Macaca fascicularis: one gene and its partners. The protein of the gene in region 1 interacts with the protein of each later gene in a pairwise test. Links are inferred from orthologs where the notes say so. Each region holds a gene or a part of one and is shown in the gene's direction. Other genes may lie near its edges.

Region 1 (4,161 bases):
GCCCGGATAATTTTTGTATTTTTAGTAGAGACAGCGTTTCGCTATGTTGGCCAGGCTGGTCTCAAACTCCTGACCTCAGGTGATCCACCCGCCTCGGCCTCCCAAAGTGCTAGGATTACAGGCGTGAGCCACCGCGCCCAGCCTTCATTTAGTATTGTCTAATGATGTTTTCATACTCCAAGAAGAAAGTTCAGTATGGACCACAAAGCCAAAAAGATGTCCTCTCTGGCTCTACAGCAAAGATTTGCCAAGCCCTGTTATATGTCATACTATTTGCGCTTCATAATTTTATAGTTTTACCTAGGCAGTCTCCATTTTTTCCTTCCATATTCAGCGTAAAATCCCCTTGTTTTTTTTTTTTTTTGGAGACGGAGTCTCGCTCTGTCGCCCAGGCTGGAGTGCAGTGGCCGGATCTCAGCTCACTGCAAGCTCCGCCTTCCGGGTTTACGCCATTCTCCTGCCTCAGCCTCGGGGAGTAGCTGGGACTACAGGCGCCCGCCACCTCGCCCGGCTAGTTTTTTTGTATTTTTTAGTAGAGACGGGGTTTCACTGTGTTAGCCAGGATGGTCTCGATCTCCTGACCTCGTGATCCGCCCGTCTCGGCCTCCCAAAGTGCTGGGATTACAGGCTTGAGCCACCGCGCCCGGCCCGTAAAATCCCCTTAATATCAGTCTCTAGGCAAGCTCATTCTTCATAATCCTTAGAATTGGACCTCCTCTTGTTAATTTCCTTAGTCTAATCACAATCCTCCTGGTTATTTACAAACCGAACGCCAGAAAGGAGGGTTATCAACATCTTATGCGCCACAAATTAACAAATCAAAACCAAATCTCACTCTCCCTCCGAAGCCAAGGCTAAGGAGGCTCACCGCCCAGTTAGTGGCTTTCAAACTACCCTTACAAGTGAGGCATCTTGTGAATTAGAACAACTGCTGCTGCTAAAATCCCTAATGGCTACATAGCAATGTGAAAAAAAGGTATCAAATGTAATTTTCTCAAATTTAATCCTCTTCAATTGTTGGCACAAAAAAAGGAATAATAAAGGTAGACAACTATAATTAGCATGTGTGATCCCAAATCTTTATACCTTAGATACTGGATATTTTCTACAAGTAAATAGTTTCTGGCTCCCAAGATGAGAGGTTAAATAATGCAGGGTGTTTGTAAACAGCAGCACAACTTACACCGGAAATTAGGGCACTTTCTCACCAAGGAGAGCACATCAAAATTTGCTCATCTCTTTCAATCAATGTTCTCCAGGACTAGTGCTGGGGGCGGGGAGGCGGAGCAAGCTATCTTTTCTACCAGCCGTGTCACACCCCTCCTAGCACTAACCCCTCCTCCTCAGCCTCTTCACACCTCTACCCACTACTAACCCCTCCCCAGCCCCATCACCGCTTCCCGGGCCCCTGACACCTCTCCCAGCATACTCTTCCTGGCCTCATCACCTCACCCACTTCCTCCAAAATCACAGGACCTGCTAAGCTTCCAGCAGCAAGCGAGCAAAGCAGGGAGGCTGTAATGTAAAAGTCCGCAGTCCCTACACAAACACTATCTGCTCCTGCGGAGAAACTCAAGTCACAGCCCCAGAAGAAAGAACAGGCCTGGGCTCTCACCCAGTTAACCAGCGTTTATCCAGCGCACGTGTTGCGGTCGGACCCCATGCGAAGGAGCTAAGGACACAAAGGTGAGCAGCAGAGTCGCGGTTCCAGCTCTCTCCCGGCTCCCACTCCAGCGGGGTAGGTAGATAATTTCGGTAAACTTCGCCAAGCAGGGGCAGGACAAAGAGTATTTGAAGTCTACCCGGGGGAGAACTTACCTAATCCTTGAATGTTAAAAGGCTAAAACTCCACCAGTCGGAAGTGACGTGCCAGCTGAGCCCCCGCAGGTCCGCCACGTAATTGGCCGCCGCCACAGCTAGCCACCCTCTCCCCGGACTGGCCCGAAGAGAGGAAAAGTGTGGAAGTCCACAAGCCGCCCTCGCCCCGCCCTCTTCGTCGACTTTCAGCTGCACTGGGGAGCGGCGGCGCCTGGCCAGAGCCGGGGCCTGGAGCCTGGACGGGACAGCCTCGCCGGCCGGGGCGCCCGTCCAGCGCCCTGCGGGCCATGGGCTTCAGCGCTCGAGCACGCGCATGCGCGGGCCTCTATCTCCAGAGGATTCCTCGGGTCACCTGGACGCCAGCATCTCAGCCACCTGCCCCTCTGGGTCCCTTCTTGTCCTTGATTCCTCCTGCTGGTTCTCATCGCCAGCCCTCCTCCACCTCCTCCTTCCGCAGCCACCGCTAGACCCGGCCGCTGCCGCCTGCCGACACCCCAGCTTCCACTGACACGAGCCTCGGCGCGGCTTCCGCTTCCGGCGAGTATTGTGTGTCGCGCCGCGGGGCGGGGGCGAGGGGAGGAGGAAGGAGGGAGGCAGCGCTCCGGCGGCTCCGCGCCCCGCACTCCCGGACCCGAAGCCGGGAAGGTAGGTGCTGTCCCGCCGCCGCGCCCGAGCCTGGGGCCTGCCCCCGCCGGCCGGCTCCGCAAGTCGCGTCCCAGCGCCCCGCGACTGCGTCACCGGCCCCCCGCACGTAACCACAGCTGCCTCCGCCCGCCTCGGGCCCGGGCGGACGTTTTGCCGCCCCGGCGACGTCAGCGCGTCCGGCGTTGCTTGGCTACCCCGCCGTTCCCCCGTCCCGCTGCTGCTCACCTCCCCGGGTGAAACTCTGACGCAGTCACCGCGGGTCTCGGCTGCGTCATAGCGGCGGGCATCCCACCTTCACGTCACACCTCTTCCTCACCTGGACACGCATCCCTCCCTACCCTGCCAGCAACGACGTTTCCTCTTTCCCCTCTCCAATCCCCCTGCCCCAGATCTGGCGGAAGAAGATGGAGACGGGGGTGGGACAGAGTTGTGGACAACCTCTCAGGACAGGGTCGCAAGGTGGGACCCTGAACAGTGGTTGAAACAAAATGAGATCGTCCCTGAAGTTTGCCCTTCAGCTGAGACACAAGGAGTAGAGGGAGACGAAGGACTAACCCAGAGGCACTCAAGGTCTCACTATGACTGTAGTTTAGAGTCCTCTCCATTCTTCCCTAACCCTTTCCCCATTTCTTTCACCACTTCTTTGCCAGTCTAGATCTGTCCTGGTGCCTTACTGTGCATACAGTTCTACTCATCTCAGGTGAGGAGGCCACCTAATTTGTAAAAGACTGAGGAAGGGGTAGGGTCACCACAAGTCAAAGTTGGATTTCCACAGGTAGAGAGAAATCATCTGATTGAACTTCTCTCCTATTGCTGACAGAAAAAATTCAAGTCCAAAGAAGTTATCAGCTCCTACTCCAAACACATTTGTGTGTGCCAACAATATATACAGGAACAATTGTTGTTAACCTACCTCATTACATGGCCACTTATCTCTCAGCACATAGATTTACCAAATTTCCTTCCTTCCAGTAGGTCCCTAGAGAAGGATGGGGGTCAGGAGGAGAAAGGGTTATGGGGATAGATACATCAACTTACCCATGGCTAAAAGTATCGACGTTTTAAGATGGAGTGGGGGACCAGCGTTGTGTTTTATAAATCTCTCTTATGCATTTCCAATTCTTCTGAGGCTGCACTTGAGGGAGATCTCATTGCCTCTTTTCTGTCTCTTAATTCCCAACCACTCCGGAACCTATTAGTTGGAGACACAGTATGCCCAGGATGTTAGTTATCAATAGTTATATTGAAGGATTCCAGTCACTATAAATAGACTTGTTTCTTTACAAGAAGTTGTTGGCCTGAGCTCAGTAATGTACTATTTAATATAGTTGCCATAATTTATCAGTTTTCAGCAGTTCTGAGTGTCCAAATGAACACAATAGAAATGGAATGTTGCATGAAATATGTCATTCCAAGAAGAGAGCAGACTTCCTTTAGGCTAGTCTGATGGATAAAAGGAAGAATAATTTCAGATTTTCCTGGAAAGAGAAGGTTGCCTTTGCTTCATTCATTCCATTTGTTAGCCTTTAGAACACTGGTATCTAACCTTTTGAATGGGAGGACTCTTTTTACTTATCTGTGGTGGCTGATAAAACAAAAATTATGCATGGACCTTTTGTGGTGGCTGATAGAACAAAAGTTATGCATGGACTTCTTTTTTTTTTAGCTTATCAGCTGTCATTAGTGTCAATGTATTTT
Region 2 (4,263 bases), on another chromosome or scaffold:
CATTAGACAATTTTATATTGTTACTTAAACCCAAGATCTGAAGCCTTCCTAACATTCAATAACTTTTTAGTAGATTTTTTTTTCCTAGAAGAGCAAAGTCTCAGAACTCCACGGAAGCCTGGAAATTGTTTTATTCTAATTTTAGATAAGCTGTCTGAACTAAGAGATCTCTGAACTTGTCAAAAGCAGGCAAAGTGGGGGTCTGGGAAGAAGATAAAAACAAACGCCACATAAAACGTCATGGAGCAAACTAATCAAGAACTTTGGCAAGAAACGGAGAGAAAGTCTTAAGGAGGACACCCAGAACATCTCCAGCTCCTCCTGGCCCGACTCCTCGCCTCCTCTTAATTCCAGCCAGTCAGAGCGCGGGGCCATCCGCCACTCCCAGGATGCCACGCGACGGGAGCGGACGCTGCGAGGATGCACCTCCACACGTCAACCTCCCACAAACAGCGTGGCTTCGTGGCTTGAGCACCCGGTTCGGACGTGAACGCCTGGGTCCGAGTCCCAGCTCCCCCTCCTGCCTTGTCTGCAGCCCTGCGCAAGTCCTCTTGCCCTCGCTGAGCCTCAGTTTCCTCATCTGTAAAATGTAATAATTCCCTATAATTGGCTATAGGGAGATGAAAAGTGTAAATGGTTTTAAGGAAGACACAGGCAACTCTCCAACTTGTTACGGCTCTGAAGCTCGCGGTGCTCACTAACCAGCCTTGAGACCAATCTCTCAAAGTCACCCGCTCCTCCTTTCCCGCCCGGCGCCTGTACCGAGGCCGCTCCCTCCTGTTGGCCCCCATGCGGAAGGCGCGCGGCGCCGTCTGCCGTACCTGCAGCCACCTGGTCAGCGGGGCCCTCTTGTTGACCCATGACGAAGTCGTGCACGAGGCCCCATAGGGCGCCCGTAGGCGCCGCCGCCTCCAGAGCCGCGGCGGCGGCCATGACGCGAACAAGAGACCGTGGGAGGGGATATGGGCGGTGGCAAGAGACGGGCCTCTCCGCGCATGCGCCTCCCGAGGCAATCGCGGGGAGAAGGCCAAGGGGGCGGGGCGCACCGGGTCACGTGCCTACCGGCTTCTAGCCAGGCAGTTCCATGGAGGGGCGGGGCCTGGAATGGGGCGGCGGCACCGAGAGGGAAGGCGGCTGCTGGGCACGCAGCCGGAGGCCATTGAGGGCGAATAATTCCCGGCCCGGCTCCCCGGGAGACGGGCGGCGGGGCGGGCACCTGGCTGGGTGGGGAGAGGGGCGGTACGCACCACGGGGGAAGCCAATGAGAAAATCAGGCCCAGCCCGAGGGGGCGGTGCTGTCGGTCACATGCGCACCTGGGGCGGGTGGTGGCGGCGGCGCGGGCACCGCGAGCCGGCGGTGGGGAGCGGGGCCGGCCTGGGGCGGGGTTAGGCAGGTGAGTGACAGGCTCCAGGGGGCCGGCCCCTGCCTGGAGCCCCGAGCGACCGGGAGTAGCTGCGGCGGTGCCCGCCCCCTCTCTCCGCCCCTCCAGCGGAGCTGGTCTCCGGCCGGGCACCGTCGCGGGCCCCCCTGGCCCGGCCACCTGGGACTGTGCTAGGGAGTCTGCCACCTCCCTCTCTCCCCTGGCCCGCAAAGTTTTGCCGGAGCCAGCGCCGGGGCTGAGCGCGCCCCCGGGGGGAGATCGGGGAGCGCCAGATGCCGGGCGGCCGGAGCCGTTGACCCGGGACGCCGCCGTCCGGGGCAGGAGCGCGGAGCAGCCGACCACCTCGCCGCCTCCGGTGCATGGGGACTGGCTGAGGAGCCAGCATGGGCAACTGCGTGGGGAGACAGCGGCGGGAGAGGCCGGCAGCCCCGGGACACCCCCGCAAGCGAGCAGGTAACGACGGGGAAGGGAGCAGGGCCTCGGGCACCCCGCCAGTTGTCCCCCTCCTCGCCCGAGCTCTAGGCTTACCGATAGACTCCCCACTGGTGCTGGCGCTTGGGTTTCCCCGATAGCCTGCTCCGCAACCAGACGGGGCCGCTCCCCAGCGCCGGGCGAGCTGAGTTGGGGCAACTGCGAGCACTGAGCCGGCTGCGCGACCAACTCTCTCCAACTGGGAAGCTCCTGGTGGGGGTGGGGGCAGGAAATGTTTGCAGACCGCAGCGGGGCCGACGGATTGCGGGGAGGGCCCGGGGCGAGGGCGCCGCTGGCCTGGCAGCTCCGGCCGGGGTCGGACACCGGCCCGTCGGGGCACGGCGCGGGCAGCCAGGCGTCCCCAGAACTTGGAGCGAGCGGGGCGAGAACAGTCGCTCCTTCCAAAGACTGTGTCATTATCGGGCTGCAGATCGTGTCTGCCGGAATCCGACTTGCAAAGCAGCGCAGGACTCTGGGAAAGAAATCTTTATTTTTCCCGCAGGGGTTTTTAGAGCCTCTCGGTCGTCTGGGAGTCTATAAAAGATGGGGTGCGGGGTGAGAGTCACCCTCGGAATTGTTGGGATCCTTCCTAGCTGTGGGAGTGAGATCGCTCGCTGGTGATTCTCGAGGCCGGTTTCTCAACGCTTTCTCACTTTCATGGTACACCCCGCTTGCCCTGGCATTTCGCCCCGGAAAGAGGTCTGTCGGTCATTTTTCTGGGTCTTACACTCACTTCCTTCTTTGAGGGTGTTGCAAGGACCTGCTGGGAATAAAATCGTAGACTTGAGAGCTCAAAGGGACCTTCAAAACTTATCTGGATTCCAGATGGATCTTTGTCCTCCTCTCCATGTCAAAGCCCAGATCCCAAGAGGTTGAGCACCTTGTCCAAAGTCACACAGCTAGTTAGGAGCACAGCTGGGGCTAGAACTCAGCCTCCTCTCCCACCCCATTGCCACATATCCCCTTATGTAAGAGGAGCCACAGGCAGAGTTGTTAATGAAGTGGAAACTCTAGTTGGAGTTTCCTGTCTCCCTTGACACCGAAGGTGTGTTGCTTGGGTTGCGGAAACTGGGAAGGAAGATGAGGGAACCAGGGGAAGCAGGGAAGGATGTCTGCGTGGTGGACAGGATGACTCGTGGAGGAAGAAATGTGTTTTTATGGGAAGGATGAAGTAAAACTTATTGAAATTCTTTTGTCTGAAGGTAACTCTGCCCATTCTTCTGACTGAGGAGAGATGACTCAAAACCAAGGACTGGCTTGCTTTCATTCATTCATTTGTTCAACAAATATGTGTTCAGTCCCCATAATTGATTTAGCAGCATTTTTTGCTGTTGACAACTCTCTCCCATGAGACATTCTCCCCCTTCCTTTCTTGGCATCAGACTGTCTTGGTTTTCCATTCTAAACACCCCTTTCCACGATCACCTTCTAGGTGGGGGGCGCACTGGTGCTTCAGTTTGACATTCTGTTTTTTCTCTCATTACACTCCCTCCCAGAGAAATCTTGTTTAGTCTCACAACTCTTTGTCCATTGGGAAGACCCCTATGCTTAATCTTCAGCTCTTCTCTCTTGAACCCCAGAACCCCATCTCTAGATGGCCACTGGACAGTGCGATATAGATATTCCCAGATTTGACACTTCCAAAATCAGGCTCTGTATTGTTCCCTGTCCAGCAGCTTCCCTTCTTTACTCATGTTCTTCCAGCTGCCTAACTTTAGGCTGTGAAGAGCTCTCTCTCTCATGACTTTCTCTGCTTCCTTGTCACCTGCCTCGAAGCCAGCCAGTCCCTGGGGTCTGCTGGCTCTTCCTTCCGCAGGTCTTGCGAACCTGTCCCTTGCCACCCCACTTCATACCCTTCTCACCTCAAGTCAACCCTTGTCTCAGGCTGAAGTGAGGTACCCCCCAAAGGCAACTTCATCTTCAGTCATTATCCAGTCTTACACACAGTTGTCCCCTCAGAAGACATTTGCTAAAATAACTTCTTCCAGATTTTATAGTTCTGTGTTCAAAATATTTCTGTACTTGGCCAGACATGGTGGCTCACACCTGTAATCCAGCACTTTGGGAGGCCAAGGCAGGCAGATCACCTGAGGTCAGGAGTTGGAGACCAGCCTGGCCAACATGGCAAAACCCTGTCTCTACTAAAAATATAAAAATTAGCCAGGCGTGGTGGCAGGCGCCGGTAATCCCAGCTGCTCAGGAGGCTGAGGCAGGGAGAATTGCTTGAACTGGAAGGCAGAGGTTGTAGTGAGCCCAGATTGCGCCACTGCACTCCAGCCTGGGTGACAGAGCGAGACTCCATCTCAAAAAAACCCAAAACAACAACAACAACAACAAACACCTTTCTGCACTTTCCCACTCCTACAAGTACTTTAACTGTCAAGGCCGTTCCTTTTAAGTCCTAATTTCT
Region 3 (4,268 bases), on another chromosome or scaffold:
TGTTTTTGTTTTTGTTTTGAGACGGAGTCTCGCTCTGCCGCCCAGGCTGGAGTGCAGTGGCCGCATCTCAGCTCACTGCAAGCTCCGCCTCCCGGGTTCACGCCATTCTCCTGCCTCAGCCTCCCGAGTAGCTGGGATTACAGGCGCCCGCCACCTCGCCCGGCTAGTTTTTTGTATTTTTTAGTAGAGACGGGGTTTCACCGTATCAGCCAGGATGGTCTCGATCTCCTGACCTTGTGATCCGCCCGTCTCGGCCTCCCAAAGTGCTGGGATTACAGGCTTGAGCCACCGCGCCCGGCCTGTTTTTGTTTTTTTGAGGCACAGTCTCCCTCTGTTGCCCAGGCTGAAGTGCAGTGGTGAGATCTCCGCTCACTGCAACCACCACCTCCCGGGTTCAAGCGATTCTCCTGCCTCAGCCTCCCAAGTAGCTGGGATTACCGGCGCCGGTAGAGACAGGGTTTCACAATGTTGGCCAGGCTGGTCTCAAACTCCTGACCTCAAATGATCCGCCGGCCTCGGCCTCCCAAAGTGCTGGCATTATAGGCATGAGCCACCACGTCTGACCCCCAACTCCCTTCTTTGGAGGCTTGTTTTAACTGTCACTTTGTGTATCTTCTTTGCGAATCGCACAGCCCAAAGTACGCCACTATTAACTGGTTTCTCTGTCTTGTTCACCAAAGTGGATCCCCAGGTCCCAATCGGATGCATCCTCTTAAACAGCTTCTACCTAGGGTAAGTGGTGGTGGTGGTGGTGGTGGTGTTGGTGGGGTGGGGTGGGGGGCTTCAGGGACCAAAACAGGGCCAGAAGGTGGGGGCCTCCAATACCCCACATTAAATTGGGACTTTATCACGTAAGCTCTGGGGAGACAGGGAAGGTTGGATTTTTGTTTGTTTTGCTTGAGACAGGGTCTCTCTCTGTTGCCCAGGCTGGAATGCGGTGGCTTGATCACAGCTCACTGCAGTCTCGACCTCCTGGGTTCAAGTGGTCCTCCCGCCTCCGCCTGCCAAGTAGCTCAGAGGTGCGCGCCACCACCCTCGGCTATTATTTTATTTTACTTTTTTTTTTTTTTTTTTTAAATAGAGACGAGGTTTTGCCATGTTGCCCAGACTGGTCTCCAACTTCTGGAATCAAGCAATCCTCCCGCTTGAGCCTCCGAAAGTGCTGTGATTGCAGGCGTGAGCCACCGTGCCCAGCTTAGGTTGAGCAGCGAAAGGGACAGGGCCCAGTGCTTTCTCTGCGAGGTTCAGTCGTCCTGTCACCGTCTGTCACCGTTTGGGGAGCGCCACGGAAGCTGCCAGGCAAGGCACTGACTCTAATCGAGAGGCGCACTCGTCGCCCTGGCAACGGAGTCCCGAAGAACCACAGAGATGCGGCTCCAGCGTACAGAGCGGCCGCCTGGGCCAGCGAGGCACCGAGCGCTAGAGAGGCACTTCTAGCCTATTGTCACGTGGTCGGCCTCGGGAAGGCGGGACTTCCGGCGGCGCGGTATTTTTTTTCCGGTGGCTGGTCCCGGGCGGCCCCTCCCCGACTGGGCCCTGTGCCCCCCGCCCCCGCGGCCCCTCGCCGCCGGGCCAGCCGCCACCATGAAGAAATTCTTTCAGGAGTTCAAGGCCGACATCAAGTTCAAGAGCGCGGGACCCGGTCAGAAGCTCACAGAGTCCGTGGGGTGCGTGAGGAACGCAGGGGCGGCCGGGGAGAGGGGTCTGGGGCCTCGGGCGGCTCGGGAGATCGGAGAGGGCGAGGGGCTGGGGAGCGGCAGCCGAGAGTCAGGGGAGGGGGAGAGGCTCCGGGGGCGGGGCAAGCGGGGCCGAGGATGGGCGTCAGGGGGAGGGGAGAGAGATCTGGGGTCAGGGCAGGAGGGGGCGGGTGTGAGCCGGGGGCGGGGCAAGGGAGGCGGGGGGAGGGGAACATGCGCAGGGGGCGGGGCAAGGGGGCCGGGTGGGAGGGGATGTCTCGGGGGCGGGGCCGCAGGAGGGTCCGAGGCAGTGGCGGGGGATTAGGGCGGCGGGGCTGCAGGAAGTTGGGGGTCAGTGGAGCGACCCTGGGGGAAAAAAGGGATGATCAGTTCTGAGACGGGTGATAAGGGAGAGGTCTGGGGACCCGGCTGGTCCTTAAGTGGCCGGGATGATTTGGGGGAATCTAGGTGACCATGGATGAGAGCTGAGCTTGGAGGAAGACGCACAACTGTGGGGTGGGGTGGTGGAGAGTTGTTCTGAGGCATCCATGGGAAGAGGGGTTCTGGACTTGGGATCTGGAGCACGTGGGAGGCTGATGGGAGACCAGGAAGAGTCTGGAAGGCCAAGGAGGCCGGGGTGGGTAGCGTCTTCAGTCACCTGGGAGGGGCTGAGGAAGGTGTGTGAGGAGACTGGAGGTGAGGGACTCTGACAGATGGACTGTGACACGGGAGGGGCCTGAGAGGAGAAGACCGGCGAGATTGACGCGTCTGAGCAGGTTGGGAGAAAGGCCTTCTCTGCGAGGCTTCTCTGCCAGGTCACTGTGCCAAGTGGATTATGGAGGTGAGAGGGGAGGGGAAAGGAGATAAGTGCCGGGCAGGCTTCCGGATCGTCTAGGGAGGACTTGGAGAGAAGGGCCTGAGCAGGGCTGAGCCAGCTGGGAGGGCAGGTGGAGGGCCGGGAAAGAAGTGGCGCTGGAGAGGGTGCGAGGCTGAGGGCTGCTGGGCTGAGAAAAGGGAAGCTGGAAGAGCTGGGGCTGCTGCAGGGAGCTGGCTGGCCAGGGGGTGGTGGAGACTGATGGAGAGTGACTGAGGAAGGAGGTCAGCCAGGCAGCCAGGGTAGGGGTCTGTAAGCAATAATGGAAGGGATTGTGAAGGGGTGGGGGCTGGGAGGGGGTAGGAGGAGAGGCAGGGAGGTGGCAGGAAGTGGGGGTCAGGGAATCACGGGTTGGTGGGGTGGTGATGGAGGTAGGGGCATAGCGAGGAATTCAGGGTTCCTAGGGGAGAGCAGGAGAGCAAAGGCTGAGTGAGAGAGGGAGGGGGGTCAGGGAGAGAAGTGGACAAATGGGGGGAGCCCTTCATTGATTCAACCAGTAGTGGATGGGGTTAGGACTGGGCGTGACAGGAAGGATGCAGGGCATCAGGGTGATGGCTGGGTCAGCCCAGAGCCTGGCGGAGAGGGGAAGGTCAGAGGGGAGACTCGGGAAGGGAAGGGGTGCGGAGGTCCTCTCTGGAGCGAGACTGGATATCCAGGGTGTGTGGGGCGTGTGGGCACCAAGTCCTGTTTTAGGCTGCAGTGGTGGACAGGAGAAGGCCTCTGCTGTCCCAGGGCTCACCTTCTAGAGGGAGCTGATGGACAAATAAACCAACAGACCTCAGAGGAGGGCTCAGGCGGTACCCAGGGCCTTGAAGGAGGGTGAGCAGACGCCATCAGGTGGTTTGGGAAGGCCTCTCCCAGGACACAGTGAGACTCAGCCGTGGGGAAATCAGCCCCCTCCTTCTCTCCCTGTGGCAGCTCTAGCCCTTTCCAGATCCCCTGTCCTCCTCCCTCCCCGCAGGAGAACACTGTGGGCATAAGGCGCAGACAGTGCAGGGCCTTGCGGCGGGGAGCAGCTGGGGTATGGGAAGAACCGCGGGGAGCCCAGGGGAGCCAGGCCAGGGGAGGGCAGTGGGCCAGGCCGGGAAGGGCTCTCCGGCCGAGGGAGGCTTTAGGATTTCGTGGTGGGGGGGCGTCGTGCAGTGGAGTGATGCTGACGCTCCCTGGCTGAGGTTGCAGAAGGGTCCCTGTGGCTGCCCAGGGCGGGCAGGGTCCATGACCGGTTGGGGTGAGGTGCCCTGGGAAATGCCATTTTGTTGGAAAGACCTAGATATCGGATGGGGCTGGGATGGGTCTTCATGAGTCATCTCCTCTTCCACCCAAGATGCTGCGCTGTGGGAGGACTAGATAGGCAGGGGTGGGCACGAAGCTAAGCCTCGAGACGAGGAGGGAGGGCTGCCCGAGTATCTAAGCAGAGCCAGAGGAGTACAGGGCTTGAACTGAGAGCCTGGCCTCCAGGAAGTTTTAATAGACTTACGACATGGAAAGTGACACAGTCCCTGAATTCACGGGAGGGGCCCGAGAGGAGACAGGCGAGACAGACGCATCCGAGCAGGTTGGCAGAAAGGGCTTCTCTGCCAGGCCACTGTGCCAAGTGGATTATGGAACCCTCCTTGGTGTAGGGCTCAGCAGGGCGGAACCGCGAGTCCATGAGCTCTTGGTACTTGCACAGCCCCGGGCCTGGCATGGAGTGGCCAGGGCGAGGCTGGTTCTGCTGT

The links.
Region 2: the proteins of TRIM39 (region 1) and UBTD1 interact in binary tests that used the Homo sapiens proteins (3 or more experiments, as listed by UniProt). The two-hybrid records come from large-scale screens. The link is inferred for Macaca fascicularis from reciprocal best matches to the Homo sapiens genes TRIM39 and UBTD1.
Region 3: the proteins of TRIM39 (region 1) and UBXN6 interact in binary tests that used the Homo sapiens proteins (3 or more experiments, as listed by UniProt). The link is inferred for Macaca fascicularis from reciprocal best matches to the Homo sapiens genes TRIM39 and UBXN6.

Annotation. Positions count from the first base shown.
Region 1 is NC_088378.1:142,319,868-142,324,028, reverse strand, and holds the start of TRIM39 (E3 ubiquitin-protein ligase TRIM39), read left to right. Parts: upstream 1-1,325; 5' UTR 1,326-1,686; exon of another isoform or gene 1,687-2,355; intron 2,356-2,357; exon of another isoform or gene 2,358-3,163; intron 3,164-4,161.
Region 2 is NC_088383.1:106,450,455-106,454,717, forward strand, and holds the start of UBTD1 (ubiquitin domain-containing protein 1), read left to right. Parts: upstream 1-1,463; 5' UTR 1,464-1,765; coding exon 1,766-1,835; intron 1,836-1,910; exon of another isoform or gene 1,911-2,054; intron 2,055-4,263. Other genes in the region: MMS19 nucleotide excision repair protein homolog, read right to left, coding at 822-933. UniProt on the Homo sapiens protein: May be involved in the regulation of cellular senescence through a positive feedback loop with TP53. Is a TP53 downstream target gene that increases the stability of TP53 protein by promoting the ubiquitination and degradation of MDM2.
Region 3 is NC_088393.1:5,196,658-5,200,925, reverse strand, and holds the start of UBXN6 (UBX domain-containing protein 6), read left to right. Parts: upstream 1-1,468; 5' UTR 1,469-1,584; coding exon 1,585-1,667; intron 1,668-2,431; exon of another isoform or gene 2,432-2,517; intron 2,518-4,268. UniProt on the Homo sapiens protein: May negatively regulate the ATPase activity of VCP, an ATP-driven segregase that associates with different cofactors to control a wide variety of cellular processes.